Nothobranchius furzeri: one gene and its partners. The protein of the gene in region 2 purifies or fractionates together with the protein of the main gene of each other region. This does not show direct contact. Links are inferred from orthologs where the notes say so. Each region holds a gene or a part of one and is shown on either strand. Other genes may lie near its edges.

Evidence for each region.
Region 1: the proteins of kat8 (region 2) and MSL complex subunit 3 purify together in Homo sapiens (affinity purification with mass spectrometry; 4 studies listed by BioGRID and IntAct, with this or other methods). This does not show direct contact. The link is inferred for Nothobranchius furzeri from reciprocal best matches to the Homo sapiens genes KAT8 and MSL3.
Region 3: the proteins of kat8 (region 2) and KAT8 regulatory NSL complex subunit 1 purify together in Homo sapiens (affinity purification with western blotting; 4 studies listed by BioGRID and IntAct, with this or other methods). This does not show direct contact. The link is inferred for Nothobranchius furzeri from reciprocal best matches to the Homo sapiens genes KAT8 and KANSL1.
Region 4: the proteins of kat8 (region 2) and phf20a purify together in Homo sapiens (affinity purification with mass spectrometry; 3 studies listed by BioGRID and IntAct, counting the BioPlex papers as one, with this or other methods). This does not show direct contact. The link is inferred for Nothobranchius furzeri from reciprocal best matches to the Homo sapiens genes KAT8 and PHF20.

Annotation. Positions count from the first base shown.
Region 1 is NC_091754.1:51,287,068-51,291,499, forward strand, and holds part of MSL complex subunit 3, read right to left. Parts: coding exon 4,334-4,432; intron 3,796-4,333; coding exon 3,637-3,795; intron 3,568-3,636; coding exon 3,323-3,567; intron 3,256-3,322; coding exon 3,166-3,255; intron 1-3,165. UniProt on the Homo sapiens protein: Non-catalytic component of the MSL histone acetyltransferase complex, a multiprotein complex that mediates the majority of histone H4 acetylation at 'Lys-16' (H4K16ac), an epigenetic mark that prevents chromatin compaction.
Region 2 is NC_091745.1:17,463,440-17,467,293, reverse strand, and holds the end of kat8 (histone acetyltransferase KAT8), read left to right. Parts: intron 1-1,185; coding exon 1,186-1,279; intron 1,280-1,747; coding exon 1,748-1,898; intron 1,899-2,257; coding exon 2,258-2,412; intron 2,413-2,978; coding exon 2,979-3,043; 3' UTR 3,044-3,155; downstream 3,156-3,854.
Region 3 is NC_091756.1:53,938,629-53,943,060, reverse strand, and holds part of KAT8 regulatory NSL complex subunit 1, read left to right. Parts: intron 1-49; coding exon 50-191; intron 192-1,775; coding exon 1,776-1,856; intron 1,857-3,215; coding exon 3,216-3,325; intron 3,326-3,999; coding exon 4,000-4,141; intron 4,142-4,432. UniProt on the Homo sapiens protein: Non-catalytic component of the NSL histone acetyltransferase complex, a multiprotein complex that mediates histone H4 acetylation at 'Lys-5'- and 'Lys-8' (H4K5ac and H4K8ac) at transcription start sites and promotes transcription initiation.
Region 4 is NC_091743.1:40,246,263-40,250,694, reverse strand, and holds part of phf20a (PHD finger protein 20), read right to left. Parts: intron 3,767-4,432; coding exon 3,598-3,766; intron 232-3,597; coding exon 147-231; intron 62-146; coding exon 1-61. UniProt on the Homo sapiens protein: Methyllysine-binding protein, component of the MOF histone acetyltransferase protein complex.

The sequences.
Region 1 (4,432 bases), on a different chromosome or scaffold from region 2:
GAGCTAATTATATTATTAACACCACTTGTGACCAATAAGCTCTAATACTCTATTTAAATATAGAATATCACCTTGCCTGGTCTTTATTTGTTTTAGTCAGAAGATTCTAGGATTCTTTATTCATTAAGGGATCGTACACACTTCGTTTGATTCAAGAAACAGTCAGGTTTATAAAAATTACGAATTTATTTTACAAACAATTAAGATTTGACAAAATGGTTAAACTATTATTTACTGTGAGTGGATGCGAACTAAGGATGGTGTCTGGAAGTTATGTGTGAATATAATGTAATGGAGTCAGAATCTCCGTTTCTCAGTGAGTTCTGGACATAAAAGAATTTTGTTTGCAAATAAGCTATAAAGTTGTTATTATCAAAACCACATACAGACGCTATCTCGCTGTGTGCTACCTCACCCGTTCTGGAGACCCCCGTTCGGATCCGAGATGTCAAGGAGCCGACGACCCCAATGCACGTGGTTCGTAGAGAAACCTCGATGCAACCAAATCAGTCCTGAGATGTCTCCGGGTCACAACGACAGATGAAGCCGAGCGTCTTAAAAATAACTCTGAAGGAGTTTGCGTTTGCTTTGTACTGCAGGTACTATCTTGTTCTTCTCGGCTTCGCAGGTGCAAAAAAGGTTTTAAAGATTTAGACGATGTGTCAAAATCCTTACTGGTTAGAGGTGCTAAAGATGGCCGGTCTGAAGCTCGCTCTAGAACTCTCGAACTGTTCGAACTGAGGGAAAAACCAGAGCGACTGGTTTTAATAGATTGATGTTATGGATTTGGCCAGCCAATCAGGGGCTGACGAGTTTGGGAGATGTTACCAAGAATCTCAGAACACACCCTCTTCGATCTAGAGACTCTGAATCTGGGCAAAAGGTTAACTATGTGTCATGTGTTAACTTCACTTTACTTTGTCTTTGTATGAGTGTGCAAATGGTGATGACCTCACCCAGTAAACATGCTAAGCATTTATCATTAAACACAGATCAATGAACATCTCATTGCATATAATTATAAATAGCAATATTTAATGATTATCTTTAATTATAAAATCTTCTTTCTTCTGGGAATAAAGGAGTTCATTTGAAAGAGTTTCTCTGTGAAGGACCTTGGAGGAGAGAATGTTATTGTTCATCTTTTATTATCTGTCAGAGCTGCAGTCCAGCTGGTGTGAGGAAGGCAGGCTCTGATTAAAGGGACTACGCGCAGACTTCCAGTCTCCTGTGAGGGGAAAATCTTGTAGGTTGTGTCATAGCCAGGGGTACGTTGACCTGGCTGTGGATCTGACCTGTGGGATCTCAAAATCAGGCCATTTCATGACATTACAGCTGTTTATTGCTGCTTAACTAGAATACCTGAGGGGTGCTTCAAGAAAGGGGAAGTAAAATGACACCATCTAGTGGCATGCAGTAGCTACTGCAGGCAGCAAAAGCAGCCTGTAAGTCTGACCTCATGTTACCCCCAACCCTACCTCACTCGTGCCTTGATGATGTCACTCATTTGATTTATTATCTAAACCAGGGGTCCTCAATTATAATGGTCTGAGGGCCACTCACAAAAAAGACCCAGAAGCAAGACGGCCCCCGACTGACTCCGCTCCCCCCCCCAAGACCGGACCTCCCCACATCACAGCACTCGGTCTGACTGAGCGCTTCCAGGAGAAACAATAATGAACTTATGAAAATAACGCGTGTTTGGAGGAACGTCTCTCTCTCTCTCTCTCTCTCTCTCGCTCTCGCTGATCGAGCGAGCGGAGTGCGCGACAACCTGCTCAATTAACATAATTTATGGCCCAAATCCAACAGAACCGATCGGGCTGATTCGGTTCGGGTTATAACTCCAGCGCTCAGCCCTGCAGTACCACATAAAGGCGGACTAAAGTTTCCTACCTGATAAATGTGGAGAACACCGCTCTGACAGATGTGGATGCTACGCTGATGCCGCCGTTAAAATAACAAAACCACATTCCTCTATAACTGATTATGGTAATGTTCTATGATGCGGAATTTTTTATGCCCGCATCTCATGCATCGATTATTTTATTATTTTCCTCAGCTCTATCCTACACCTCCCGGTCGGCCGTCGGGGGTGGGGGTGGGCGCGGGGTTTGGGGGCCACAAAGAGAAGGCTCGCGGGCCAGGCGTGGCCCAAGGGCCGCCAGTTGCGGATCATTGATCTAAACCAACAACCTGCCATTTACTCAGTCACCAATTCATCTTTCATTATTGGTACGGTTCTTTCATTATTGAAAACTGCCAGTAACTTCTGTTCTCCAAGCAAGTCACCCACTCATTCCCTTTAGCTTAACGAATGCTAGTACTAGTACTACCACGAAACACCGAGACCTTTTTGCATTCATATTTGTGTTTCCTGTTTCCACCGGTGTACCTCAGGGCTCATTGTTGGGGCTCCTTCTTTTCACTAAATACATCCTCCACCTTATTCTTTTCTCCCAGATAAAAAGCACCAACTTTCCCCGCTGCACCCAGCTCTACAGGTTATCCATCCCATCCATCCGAGACTTAGCAAATCTACAGAACAAGTTAGCCCATTAGCCATGATCCCTATGCCACGTCCCCCTGACACCCGAACCCACACTGCCAGAGGAAACGTGAGAGCACTAAACACCAGTCGCTGTTTTCTAGGTCCAAAAGTTGTTGTCCATGACGTCAAATGGGGTTTTTCTTTTTGGGACTCTGGTAGTTTGTCCAAAAGTTAAAGCGGTAGCAGCCGGCTGTTTCTTCTTCTTTGACATTATTGAACCAAGAACCTCTAACAGCGGTGTTCTGTTGCTAAATGTGCAAGCACGTAATGAGTGGAGGACCCGGGGAAGTGAGTAAGTGCGGTGGTTCGATGAGACAGACGACCGAATGAACCAATCGTTGGGTTCAGATCTAGCCGTGTTATTGGCTGAGGGTTTTAGACAAATGCTAGAGAATCACTGTTTTATCTCAAGAATATATTTATAGCTATCCTATGTTAGAACATTGTTAAAAAGCATGAATTTTTTTTAAGTTAGCTTGTTTTCCAGATTTGCTACTGTAGCTTTATCAGCAACAAATCTGAAGTTCTTCTCACTGAAACAACCATAATCTAAATAAATCTAGGACAAAAACTAAACGGTGTAACGTTTCCTTTTATAAAAAGAGTAAACCTACTTCTGTCCAGGTTGAGGAAGAACTTTGGTTGCGAAGAGATGTCGACAAAACGGCGTTTGAGCTGTGGTGAGGCCGTAGCGCTGCCTCCACCTATCATTAAAGAAATCTGTCACAAAAGCGATATAAACCCTGCACAAGGACTGAACACAAAACTCACTCTGATGACCTCCGCTGCTTCCCTCAGCGGGCCGATCCCCTCCTGATGTGTTCCTCGTGGAGCGTCTGAGGGACTGAGACTGGTAGGAGATGCAGTCCATATCGGGGTGGCGCCGGCGCTTCGGAGTGGGAGCTGCAGCAGTGGGCGTGGTGGCGGACGTGTCGCTCAGAGCCGGCTGGCTGTCTGTGGACTGAGGAGTGGGGGGGTTGTGGACTGGTGGGCTCGGGCTGCGTTCTCGTTGGGTGCTTTGAAAGGCAAAAAATAAACAACCCAGATAGTGCAAATGGACGGCGCACTCGTCAGGCCACACTTACTTGCTGGAGGAGGGCGAGCCTTCGTTCGTGCTGAGGAAGAGTTTGGAAGAGCTGACTTTTTTGAACTGAGCTTGTTCACATGGGTAGAGGAGGATCATGGGTAGGGTGAAGTCAAACGTGATCCTCAGGCCGTCGACCATTTCCTTACAGAGCTCCTCGCTTAAAAACGACAAATAACAGGACTTTCAGGGCATCGCAGCGAGTAATTTTGATATTTAAAAATGTTATATGTACATTTTTTTTCTCTAGTCTCTAGTCACATGACATTGCACTCTAACCAAATGATTCAGCTTTTTAATAGCTGGTAAAAGTACTAATCCTATTCTTCAAGCACATTAGCACTCTGAATAGATTTGTTTCCAAAGTAAATACATACGTGATGCTTAAGAGCATCCCCTTTTATTTAAAGTAATATAAACACTTCTAACAAAGAATTAGTGGAGTAAGTGCGCCCTCTGCTGGCCAATAGGAAAACAGAACCCAAAGCAAGTAAGGATAAAATACCTTACTGTAATTATAGAAACCAAAGTGATCGATCCACTTCTACAATTGCTTTAAAGTTAGCTTTTGGGTTTTCAAATGTCACGATAGTTGCAGACATTTATGACCCAACTAAACACACTCGAGTCCCTTTCATTTCATTTGTGCTTCCCCAGTTGGATCTAGTTGCTTATAACTGCGACGTGTGACGGCTCACCTCTTCTCTGGAGGAATCGGCTGTGGACTGCTGCTCTGTGAGGCGTTCTGCTGACGTCTGTACCGCTCGTTGGCCATGAATGCTTTGTTGATGGCGAAG
Region 2 (3,854 bases):
CACGCTAAAGCTTGGGTCCACTTCACTAAATGTGATGGATAACTGGGTGATGATGAAACCATCAACAACGATCTAAGTGAGACATCCTCATTTTAATCTGCTCCGGTAGGTAAATAAAATGTTTAAGATAACGTTACCTTGATATGTTAGCTTCCGTTCCGCTAATGGTGTGTTCGCTTTCTCCTCGGAATTCCGAATCTCCGGCTAGAAGAACATGAACGCGCTCAAAAGTTTGGCTTCACTTTACTAAATGCGGCGGGTGATTGGGTGAAGATGAAACCAGTGACAACGATCTAAGTGTGAGGCATCATCGTTTAAATCTGCTCCAGCAGCTAAATAATCTGTTTAAGATAACGTTAGCTTGATATGTTAGCTTCCATTGCCACCATTGTTATCAGCTAATGGTGCGTTCGCTTTGTCCTTGGAAATTCTAACTTCCCAGTAGGAAAAATCAAATGAAAAAGGACGGCAAAAGGAATGAAGATACACAATAAATTTAGTTCACAGTAAAGATGTTTGCTTCAGTTTAATTATCAGCTTATAAAACTATAAGGACGATGTTAAAATACAAACAGTTGAATGATATTTATTGTGATATTTATCAAATATGGTTATAAATTGAGAAAAATATATATTTAATTATAAAAGAGAATTAAAATATTAAACACTCAAAAGTATCTAAAATTGGTACTGTTAAGTACCGGTATCGATTCCTAGGTACCGGGAATTAGTACTGAATCTATTCAAATGTCAAAGGTACCCATCCCTAAATGGTGGCCACACCAGATACTGACTGGTTCTGAGTCCCCAGACCCCCAACAAAGCAAAAAACTGTGCATTCCAGGGTGGCCTTTTATTGTGGGCAGTATAAGGTACACCTGTGCACTACTCATGATGTCAGATCAGCATCTTGATGTGGCACACCTGTGAGGTGGGATGGATTATCTCGGCAAAGCAGAAGTGCTCACTATCACACATTTAGACTGATTTGTGAACAATGTTCGAGAGAAATGGTGATATTGTGTATCTGGAATGAATTTTAGATATTTAAGTCCATCTCATGAAAAATGGGAGCAGAAACAAAGGTGTTGCGTTTATATTTTTGTTGAGTGTATGTTTTAAAATGACTAATATTATAAATTGTAGGGTGAAGCTAGAAATGAACGTTTAGTTTTTCTTTTGCAGGAAAAAGAGTCTCCAGATGGGAATAACGTGGCCTGTATTCTCACTCTTCCACCTTACCAGCGCAGAGGCTACGGGAAGTTCCTCATAGCTTTCAGTAGGTCGAAGGCCTCTGCCATGTTATATACTATAGTACAAATATTACTGGTAGTTAAACATACCCATTTATATATTTTAGAAACTTTGGCTGTTTTCTTAAATCTTTATTCAGAATCTGCTTTATTTGTGATCTTATTTGATGGTTTGCTACACCATCACCTCTGACTGGTGTTCTTACCTCCAATAGTTCATTGTTGGTGCCAGTGGGTACTGCCTTGGCTCCATCTCACATACATAAACGTAAATCAGAGCTGAAATGTGATTTTGTTGAGACAAACTGAGTTTTCATATTTAATCAGCTCAATTTCTTCCTAAACGTTTGGAAAGATGTTTTCTTTTTTATGTTCATAAAACATTTTAGTTATCTTGGGCTAAATGACAGATTTCATGATTGGACTCTTCTCTGGATTATTGAGAAAATAACTGGTGGAGTAAACAGTATTGTGTGTTTTGCCGCTGTGTGTAGGTTATGAGCTCTCGAAGCTGGAGAACACCGTCGGCTCTCCTGAGAAGCCTTTGTCTGATCTGGGGAAGCTGAGCTACAGAAGTTACTGGTCCTGGGTTCTGCTGGAGATCCTGAGGGACTTCAGAGGAACGCTGTCCATCAAAGATCTCAGGTGAGCACGCAGAGAACAGCAGAAACAGTGTCGTCTGCTGTAGGGGATCACGACTGCTTTCATTCACTAACTGGGCGTCAACGATCAGAGTTCACTAATAACCAAACAACTTCAACCATTAAAATGTGTAAATAAAAAAAATTAAAAACTAGTTTGTCACGAAGTATGAAATGTGCTTTGAAGAGTCAGATAGTCGTCCGTGTTTTATCCTTAGATTGAAACGTTAATAAAAATATTTAAAAATATTAAAGATGCACCAAATCAGGCTGAGATGCATCCTTCATCACCTGCTGAATCTTCTCATGAAATCCTCACTAGAACTCACTGCTGATGTCACCAGCACTGATCCTGTTTTTCAGCCAGATGACCAGCATCACTCAGAGTGACATCATCAGTACTCTGCAGTCTCTCAACATGGTGAAATACTGGAAGGGCCAGCATGTCATCTGTGTGACGCCCAAACTGGTGGAGGAGCACCTGAAGAGCGCCCAGTACAAGAAACCACCCATCACAGGTAGGTGGAGCCCCCCTTCGCTCTGCGGAAACGCCACTTCCTGTTCTCTGTGATGCTGGGAGACACACAGCTCAGGTTACAGGTCTCTGCTGGGCAATCTTCTGAAAACAATCATTCACAAGAGATGTTGATAAATGATGAAAGCAGCTAGAGAAAAACTCTGGAAGTGCTACAGAAAGTCTGGAGGGCCGATGATCTGGACCCTTTAAGGCTCACAGGAATGTTTGGCTGCTTGGAAGGAAACTAGAGAAGGACCTGATCATGAGTTTTGTATTTTTATCTTTCATGTCCAGTTCTTGTCCCCAAGGTTTAACCAATCAGTGGACATTCATAACAAATGTCTTTTTTGCTTTATTTTCATCAGTTAAAGTATTTTATAACTTTTAAGAATTATTAATTTTCTGTACGTAATTCTTATTTAATCTCCAGGTGAACAGTTACCCTTTGGCTGTAGTTCTGTTGTAATTCCTACATCTGAGGATATGTAGGAAACACTCGGCTTAGCGAAGCCTGTTGTTTGAACTTCCTGGGGACTTTTTAAGGTGCTTGTCTCTTTTTGTTGACAGTGGACACCATGTGTTTGAAGTGGGCGCCTCCCAAGAATAAACAAGTCAAGTTGTCGAAGAAGTGAGACGAAAGCATCCCACATGCCAGCCTACCTGTTTTCACACAGACTGTATATAGTTGTTAGTAGTGTCGATATTTTCTTATAATAAACTTGTATATACACACATGAAAAAATACTTTTCTGTTTTTATTCGACTTAAATGTTGGTTCTACATATCTATAATTGGTCATTGGATTTCACTCCGGTGTTTTTAGTATAAATGATGGGTTTCGTTTACATCTGCATACAGGAAATAAAAATTATAATTTGAGAGAAATGCCTTCATGTTATGGCCACCAGCCTCTTCAGCTCCAGGAGCCAGGATCACCCAGCCTCCTGGGATCAGCCTAGACTCCGCCCTTCCTCCTCCTCTTCTCTAGGCTGCTGATGAGCTGAATCCATCCAATGGCCCACACCTGGGATAGAAGGTTGTGCCATCAACAGTCTAGGAGGCAGCAGTGCAGGGGTCCTGCTGTCCTCCAGGCGTCGTATTGGATGAATTTTAACTAAAAATTCAGATGATCCAGATGGGTCTTGTGAGGTTATTCCCTCTTATATGTCAACATAGTTGACTGATGACCTTAATGGTCTTTGTAATTGGTATTTTAAGGTTAACTTTGTTTTTTAGACACTATCAGCTTCGTGCTTTTAAACACCTTTTTGTTATGGTGAAACTTTAAATCAGTTTTAACCAGGTGCCCTAATCTTTTAATGTTAACCTTTTTGTTAAGACTTTTAAATAAGCCTTAGTTTTGTTCAGTGTTATTTTAATAGCACCCTCCACCTGTTTGCACCTTTTTTTTAAACCTTTTATGACAAACACATTTTATTTCAG
Region 3 (4,432 bases), on a different chromosome or scaffold from region 2:
GGTGCTCACCTTAAAACAGGCACTCACATCTCCTCCCCATCTCCCACAGATGGAAGCGGGCAGAGAGTCGCTACACCGTAGAACGAGCTGCCATTATCAGCCACTGGAACTGGCTTCAGGCCCACATCTCAGACCTGGAGTACCGCATCCGGCAGCAGACCGACATCTACAGACAGATCCGTGCCAGCAAGGTTCATTTGTTTACTAATATTTATGAAGGTCTTGGGGTGGGAACGGGGGTGGGGATGAGATCCCTATGAGAGAGAAGACTAGACCTTCAGTTTCTATCATACATTACTCTATGAAACTGATACTGATTCACAATATTTTTTTATTTGACAAGGTTCTTTGAAACTGTTTAATGATTATTATTGTTTTTGGGAAGTGCATTAAACTAATATAAGCATTTATTTCATGCTACACATTTATTTTCCCAGTAGTTAATTTCTTGCTGATAATTTGTCCTCATGTGGCTCTGACTGGTGTATTCTTTTTCAGAGAAAATACTAAGAGGACCTGTAGTTTTTCTCAAAATCTATAAAAACGTTTACTGAGACTGTCGTTCACCCTGCAGCAACCTCAGAGTTATAAATTCATTAATAACTTCAAATGAAACTTGAAAATTAGAATATGGTCCATAAGTCAATCTATTTCAGAAATTCAACTTGGACTGGGAGACCATCTATAGGCTCAGGAAACCTTTGCGGGTGTTCTGGATTCATTAGCTGATCAGAACGTGACACTCCTTGTTCACTTCCCTTTATGATTGATTATGCTGCCTCACTGCCACCTAGGATTGACTGATTAGTGTTTGTCGTTAGCCTCAAGGACAACCTGCTGGCTTCGTTATCACATGTAAGTCGCTTTGGACAAAAGTGTCTGCTAAATACTTAAACATAAACTTTGAGTCTAGATTATTGAACCTTTTCACAATGTTCTAATAGTCTGGGATTCTGAACGTAGGGTTTTCATCAGCTGTAAGCCATAATCATCACAATTATAACAGACAAAGGCTGAAATGGCTGGCTTTGCATGGTGGTGCAGTGGTTAGCACTGTTGCCTCGCAGCATGAAGGTTGTAGGTTCGAAACTCGGCTGCAGTCTTTCTGCGTGGAGTTGCGTGTTCTCCCCATGCATGCGTGGGTTTCCTCCGGGTACTCCGGTTTCCCCCAAAGATCACAACATGCCCTATAGGTTATAAATTTTAAGTCGCTTTGGATAAAAGCGTCTGCTAAATAAATAAACATAAACTCCTTTTTTTTTTTACCTTTTAAGTTGAATTGCTGAAGTTATCGAACTTTTGCTCTGTATTCTAATTTTTTGAGTTTCATTTGTATTTAGCTTATTTGTTAGATGTTATGATTGTAATGAGACTCTAGAAAATGTTTAAAAATGACATCTGAATATCTGGGAAATGTGGGAGTTTAGAGCTGAACATGGCAGGAACACACTTAAATCTGGTCTCCAGTCAGGTTAGCTGTTGGCTCGGGCTAGCTGTTCATCTACATCAGTTCAGAAGAATTATTTAGAACTTTTACTCAGAAAACCACTTCAGAATGTTGGAAATGTCCCTTAAACTGGGGAAACAACCAAATTGACTTATTGTCAAATGTATCTGTATGCTAACATTGTGGATTTTTTTAGGGAAATGTGATTTATTTAACTTCTTTAACATAGACTTTGATAACGAGGATGAAGTCTCAGGGATTCATCCCTCCATGGCGATGGCGTTCTCCTAATGTACTTTTTAGCAGTAACACTTCTATACCTCTACAGGGTTCGGTGGAGTTGGGTGGTGTTGCCCCCAGCGCTGCGCTCACAGGTGGGATGGAAAAGACAGAGGGTGTAAATACTCAGGTGAGTGGAGCGCCATGTCTTTCTCTTCTATTCTTGGTTGCATCTCGGCAGGAAGCTGCAGGGTTTCTGTGTGAGTTTGTCTGCATCTGGTGAATGTTGTAGCAGCTACAAATCTGACATCTTTCTGAGAAGGAAGTCACACATTCTGTATTTCAGAGCACAGCGTTTTATCTTTGAGCTGAAATGATAGATGAACATGGTAATTAATATTTAGGCCTAGTCCACACGTAGCCTGTTTTTTTTTTAAAACGAATATCCGCCCCTCCAAAAACTTGCATCCACACCACCTCGTTTAAAAAAAACTCTGTCCACACGTACCCAGATAAATACGTTGTTAAGGACATGCCAGACCTGTAGGCGGCAGTACTTCCCCCGTTCTTAACCTCGTCCTTCGTCTGTGGTCTTCCGCAGGGAGCAGTAATTCCGCTTGCAAAAACAAACAAGCAAAAAGCGCTTGGACAATTGATAAAGCGAGCGCAGCTCTGAGGGCATCCATGCTGTCGGCTAGTGTAAACACAGGTCGCACACGTGATGTCAGCATTTTTTTGTCGCGGAAAGTGACGTTGCGGACCTTAAAACTCTGGTTTTGTCTGTCCACACGCAGACACCCAAAACGGAGAAAACGCAGATCTTCACTTTGGCCGGAGTTTTTAAAAAGATTCGTTTTCGTGTGGAAAAAACTCCGTTTTCGTGTGGATGACAGGCCAAAACGTAGAAAAATATCTACGTTTTGGCAGATCCCCGGCTACGTGTGGACAGGGCCTTAGTTAAATGTTTGTTTTGGTGTGGATTGAATGTTCCTGACTCGCCTCATCATTCAAAAGGTTTGTTCTGTTAGTCAAAGGGGAAATGAAAGGAGCCTCAGGTCAGAATGATCTGGATAAAATTGGAGCTGTGTGATAACCTCAAACATGTGGATATAAATCACTTCTGTCTGAGAGTTAAAGCAGAACTGTGGGGATTCTCCTCGTGATGGTTTAAATTTGTTTTTACTTAACCCTGGTTGAATTTGATGTCATTTGTTAATGACATTTTGCTCTAAAGGCTGCTGAAAAAGAATGGGACCTATGTGCAGTAGGTTTAGTAGAACAGAAATGGGACTGAAGCCACAGAACTGCATTTGTGAGTGAGAGCTTGTGATGAAGCTAAAACTCTGCTTCTGGGTGGTGCTGAGCACATTTTGAGCATTGGGAGGACGGAGTCCTTTTTAAAAAACTTGGACTGAATAATTTACAACCTCTGGATGATTGGATTTGTTGTTTCTTTGAATACCCGGGCCTGGCTAAGTGCTGCAGGGTCAGCCCCTTGCAGTTAACATGAGGTGTAGTCTCACTGGTTTTGTCTTATCTGTCGGAGCAGGAAGGTGGTGCAGAACGGCTGGAGAACTCGAGCACCGCCCCTTTAAGCAGCACCGAGCAGGGCCCGTGGAAAGGTCACAATGGGCAGCCGGTTAACGGCGTCCTCAGCAGGTACGGCTAATGATTTACCTCCTGTCACTTTCCCAGAAGGACCACCAGATCCTACTCCTCTCTCATGGATTTGTAATTCTGAGATGCTGATGTCACGCAGAGCTTCAGTGATTAGACTCTGATTCTTTTCATCAACACAAAAGGCAAAGATCTGTTCTCACAGGCCACATGTAGACTAGTTGTGACTGAAACCAACAAATGTGAGACAAAATTAAAGACTAGAACAATCCCAGAAGCATCTTTTTAAATCAAATATTTATCAAAACACGATGAATCTTCATTGGAACCTGCTGGCTAGCTTGTTTTTACTTATAGCTTAGTGGGAGAGTAGATGTTTTAGTTTTGGTCATGAGGCCTCAAAGATGAGCACCAGCACCATATTCTTCTTTCACCTGGACCTCTGTGGGACCAGCTGGACCCAACCAGGGCAAACTACTTCCTGATCTAGACACAGACTCTGTAAATGATGACTTCTGTGTGGTTATCTAGTGTAACTTATTTTGACCTTTTTACCGTCGTCTGCCCGGAGCTACAGGAGTTTGTGTGCTGCGCAGGACTCTGCTACCATCTCAACAGATTTAAGCTCAACATTTGTAAAACTGGGTCGGATGTGTTGGTGACATCCATCTCAAACAGAAATGCGTCTGAATTTTGGTCTTGACATTTTTTTCCAGGGTGGCCGACAGCACTGATGCGAAGCTGCAGACGCCGCTGGCATACGACAGCACGTGTGTGGCTGCACGCACACGGCCGCTGATCTACTGTCGACGCCGGCGACTTGTTCAGCCCAACTTGGTGACTAACATCAACGGAAAGGTGAGCCCCGCTCCTAGCAGGCTATTCATCATGAGTCATTGAGCATGTTTGAAATGGACTTGAGTGGAAAAGATCTTTAACCAGTTTAACCCTAACGCCCCCCAATTGGGGGCCTCCACAGTTTCATGTCCCAAACATCTACAACTGTCCACATTCTCCAAACACAACTAAAACCACAATCAAACAGCCCAGATGGGAAACAAGGTCATTTTAAATTGTAATAAATTAAGATACAATGATGTTTGAACTTTATTTTAGAAGAGCATCTGACCTTCTCTGGTGTCTGCTGAA
Region 4 (4,432 bases), on a different chromosome or scaffold from region 2:
TTCACGTGCATTCCCTTCACTGTCTGGATGACTCCGTCGTAGAACTTTACAGTGTAGGACGCTACAGCGGACACCAAAGAAGACACCAGCTAAAGCTTTCCTTTGTGAGATTCATGAAACCATTAAATATTTAACACGATACCCACCATCTTTATTGACTGAAATGACTTTAGCGGGGTAGAAACGGCAGTCGGACCAGCTGGCCAGAACCTTGTCATTTACGTGAAAGCCCTGGAGGAAACAGCGTGACTTTAGTGCATCATGGGAACGACCCGCCAGCGTTTCAGGGGCGAGGAGTCCATAACGGGGATGCACCACGGATCAGCATCAACCTCCTCGCTCTGATAAGCCAAACTGATGGTAAATGGCCTGTATTTGTACAGCGCCTTCTTAGGGTTCTACACCCCCCCCCCAACACGATCAGTCATTCACCCATTCACACACACTTCCACACGCTGGTGGGGATGAGCTACGAGGTAGCAACAGCTGCCCTGGGGCGCACTGACAGAGGCGAGGCTGCCGAGCACAGACGCCACCGGTCCCTCCGAACACCATCAGTAGGCAAGGTGGGTTAAGTGTCTTGCCCAAGGACACAACAGCAGCACTCTCTGGTCGGAGCCAGGATCTAACCTGCAAACTTCCGATTACCGGACAACCTGCTCTACCTGTTTGTGAGGGCTTTTTGGGGGGGTGGGGTGGGGTGGGGGGGGGCTGAACAATTAATTGCATATGCAATTCAACTGCAATGTAACAAAAGGAGATTTTCTAATCGCAAAGACTGCGATTTGGCTGGCAGCAAGTGGTTAGCAAAATGCTAATACACCAGGAAAACACCTTAGGGATACTAATGCTAATATTGCCTAATACATTCTTACAAATTATGAATTAGAAACGTGCCAAATGATTAGATTTGGAGTCTAATAAAAAGTAAAAACAGCCATTAATCAAATAAGTACAGACAGATATTTTAGTAAAGCTAGGAAACGTAAGAGGCTAACTCCACTGAGGTTTGGCTAGCAGCTATGGACGAAACTGAACTACGGAAGCTCAGTGTGGACAAGACATCAAAAACTCTAAACACAAAAGACTTAAACGGGACACTATGCTGCTTCAAGGGATGTGCTCCTGGCTGCAAAGCATCGCACCTTCAAATACAAAATGTGGTCTTTACTGGCGAGTGTTTATGTTTATGTAGACGAATAAACGTGTTGATATGATCTGTAGATAAATAAGTAGATACATAAACTTGTTTATATTCAGTACAAGTTACAGTTGTGGTCAGAAGTTTACATACACTTGTAAAAAATATAATATAATGGCTCTACTGAGTGTCCCGTTATTTCTAAAACTCTGATTTTTCTCTGATAGGGTGATTGGAACAGATACTTCTTTGTCACAAAAAACATTCATGAAGTTTGGTTCTTTAATGTCTTTATTATGGGTTAACAGAGAAAAGTGATCACATTTGCTGGGTCACAAATATACATACAGCAACATGAACTAGCAATTTTGGTGGCTTAGAAACGTGTCAGTGAACTGAGCTTCATAGCATGGCCTCTTAACTTCTTGTGAGTGATTATGAGTGACTACAGCGGGTGACTTCTCTTAGGCCAGGTAAATAGGGCTCATTGGATACAAACGCCCACAAACACTACAATGGGAAAGTCAAAGGAGCTCAGCATGGATCTGAAAAAGCGAATTATTGACTTGAACAAGTCAGGAAAGTCACTTGGGGCCATTTCAAAGCAGCTGCAGGTCCCAAGAGCAACAGTGCAAACAATTGTTTGTAAGTATAAGGTGCATGGCACTGTTTCATCACTGCCAAGATCAGGAAGAAAACGCAAGCTATCACCTGCTGCTGAGAGAAAATTGGTCAGGAGGGTAAAGAGTGAACCAAGAATCACCAAAAAGCAGATCTGCCAAGAATTAGAAGCTGCTGGAACACAGGTGTCATTGTCCACAGTCAAACGTGTTTTGCATCTCCATGGACTGAGAGGCTGCCGTGCAAGAAGGAAGCCTTTGCTCCAAAAGTGGCACCTTAAGGCTCGACTGAAGTTTGCTGCTGATCACATGGACAAAGATAAGACCTTCTGGAGGAAAGTTCTGTGGTCAGACGAAACGAAAATCGAGCTTTTTGGCCACAGTGCCCAGCAATATGTTTGGAGGAGAAAAGGTGAGGCCTTTAACCCCAAGAACACCATGCCTACAGTCAAGCATGGTGGTGGGAATATTATGCTGTGGGGCTGTTTTGCTGCCAATGGAACTGGTGCTTTACAGAGAGTAAATGGGATAATGAAGAAGGAGGATTACCTTCACATTCTTCAACATAACCTAAAATCATCAGTACGAAGGTTGGGTCTTGGGCGCAGTTGGGTGTTCCAACAGGACAATGACCCCAAACACACATCAAAAGTGGTAAAGGAATGGCTAAATCAGGCTAGAATAAGGGTTTTAGAATGGCCTTCCCAAAGTCCTGACTTAAACCCCATTGAAAACATGTGGACAGTGCTGAAGAAACAAGTCCATGTCAGAAAGCCATCAAATTTAACTGAACTTCACCAATTCTGTCAAGAGGAGTGGTCAAAGATTCAACCAGAAGCTTGTGGATGGCTACCAAAAGCGCCTAATTGAAGTGAAAATGGCTAAGGGACATGTAACCAAATATTAGCACTGCTGCATGTATATTTGTGTCCCAGCAAATGTGATCACTTTTCTCTGTTAACCCATAATAAAGACATTAAAGAACCAAACTTCATGAATGTTTTTTTGTGACAAAGAAGTATCTGTTCCAGTCACTCTATCAGAGAAAAATCAGAGTTTTAGAAATAACGGGACACTCAGTAGAGCCATTATATTATATTTTTTACAAGTGTATGTAAACTTCTGACCACAACTGTACATAGATTATTTTTGCTTCTGTTAGTTGAAAAATGAGAAAAGCCCCTTGAGAAAATATTCGTGAATTAAATCTCAATTGCAATATTGAAGAAAATAATAATAATCGCAATCGTTCAGCCCTAAATGTGGGGGTGTTTAACAGAAGCAGGTGGTGTAAGCATGTCTATGTGATAAATATTTGTTATCGGTAGGGATGGACAATATATCGGCATCAATCTCGGTATCAGCCGATGTTAGTCATTTTTAACTTATCAGCATTGGTTCGATAAATAAAACCGGGCCGATATTAACCGGTAGTTTTTCCATCTTGTCTCCATTTGTTTGCCTGTTTCAGAGGGTGAGGTGGGTGATGTGTGATTGTTTAGTCACGTGACCGTGATCGTAATCATCTCAGAACTATAAATGTGTGTGGTGTGTGTACATATTAATGTAAATTCAGCTTTAATAATTTTCATTCTATACAAAATCTGATGATTTTAGAAGCATTAATGCCAGTATATCGGTAATCGGCAAATATTGGTTATCGGCCACAACAGTGATCTTAATACCGGAGTCGGCCCAAAACTTTCATATGGGTGCATCACTAGTTATTGGCTGTGACAGCAGGTAGGTGTGGGAACCATGCTAAGTGGACTGCAGAACCAAACACCTTGCTTCCTGTGCAGCACAGGCAAAAGCGTGATGGAGATGTGAGCTTACAGGTGAAGAGTCGCCGTTCAGGCCCTGCCTCCTCAGCTGGATCCTCTCTACGGGTCTCAGGTAGGGACTGGTCCAGTCAAACCACTCATCATAGCGATGGCTCCACTGGCGATAATGGATCAGTACTTTCTCATCGTCGTAGTCAATCTTCTCTATGTTAGCAGCGTACCTGGAAGAGGAAATGACATCATGGATGGTTGGGAAGGGAGCAGGAACTCTAGACCATCATCCTTTATGTACAACATGAAACGCAAATCTTCAGAAACAACACCCAGAAGCCGATTTGTTTCGTTGACATCTTTACTCGTTTATGAAGACGGACGAGACAGAAAATAAGAGCAGTAGTAAGCAGCACCGTAGAGCTACGTGTGACAACTGCACCAGTGTTCCCACAGCTCAGACTGATGGTGGATGGCAGCAGAACCAGGATGCACTTAATTCGCTGGTTAATTCAGATTTAAATGAGTTCACTTGTAAATACCTAACAGGAATAAAGATGTGGAGCTACAGGTTCTGGTCCAAATGGCCCAGCCCTAAATGAGACGATAATAACCTTATATGATAAAAAAGGAGCCAAAGAGCTTTAGAGAGAATCCATTATTCATTCACTCTGATGGTGGTGAGCTACATCTATCTCTCTCTCTCACACACACACACACACACACACACACACACACACACACACACACACACACACACACACACACACACACACACACACACACACACACACACACAAAGTGACAGGAAAGGCTGGGATTGAACCGCCAACCCTCAGATGACTGGATGATGCGCCAGTATTAGTGGGATTAATATCTAATGTGTGAACTTGCAT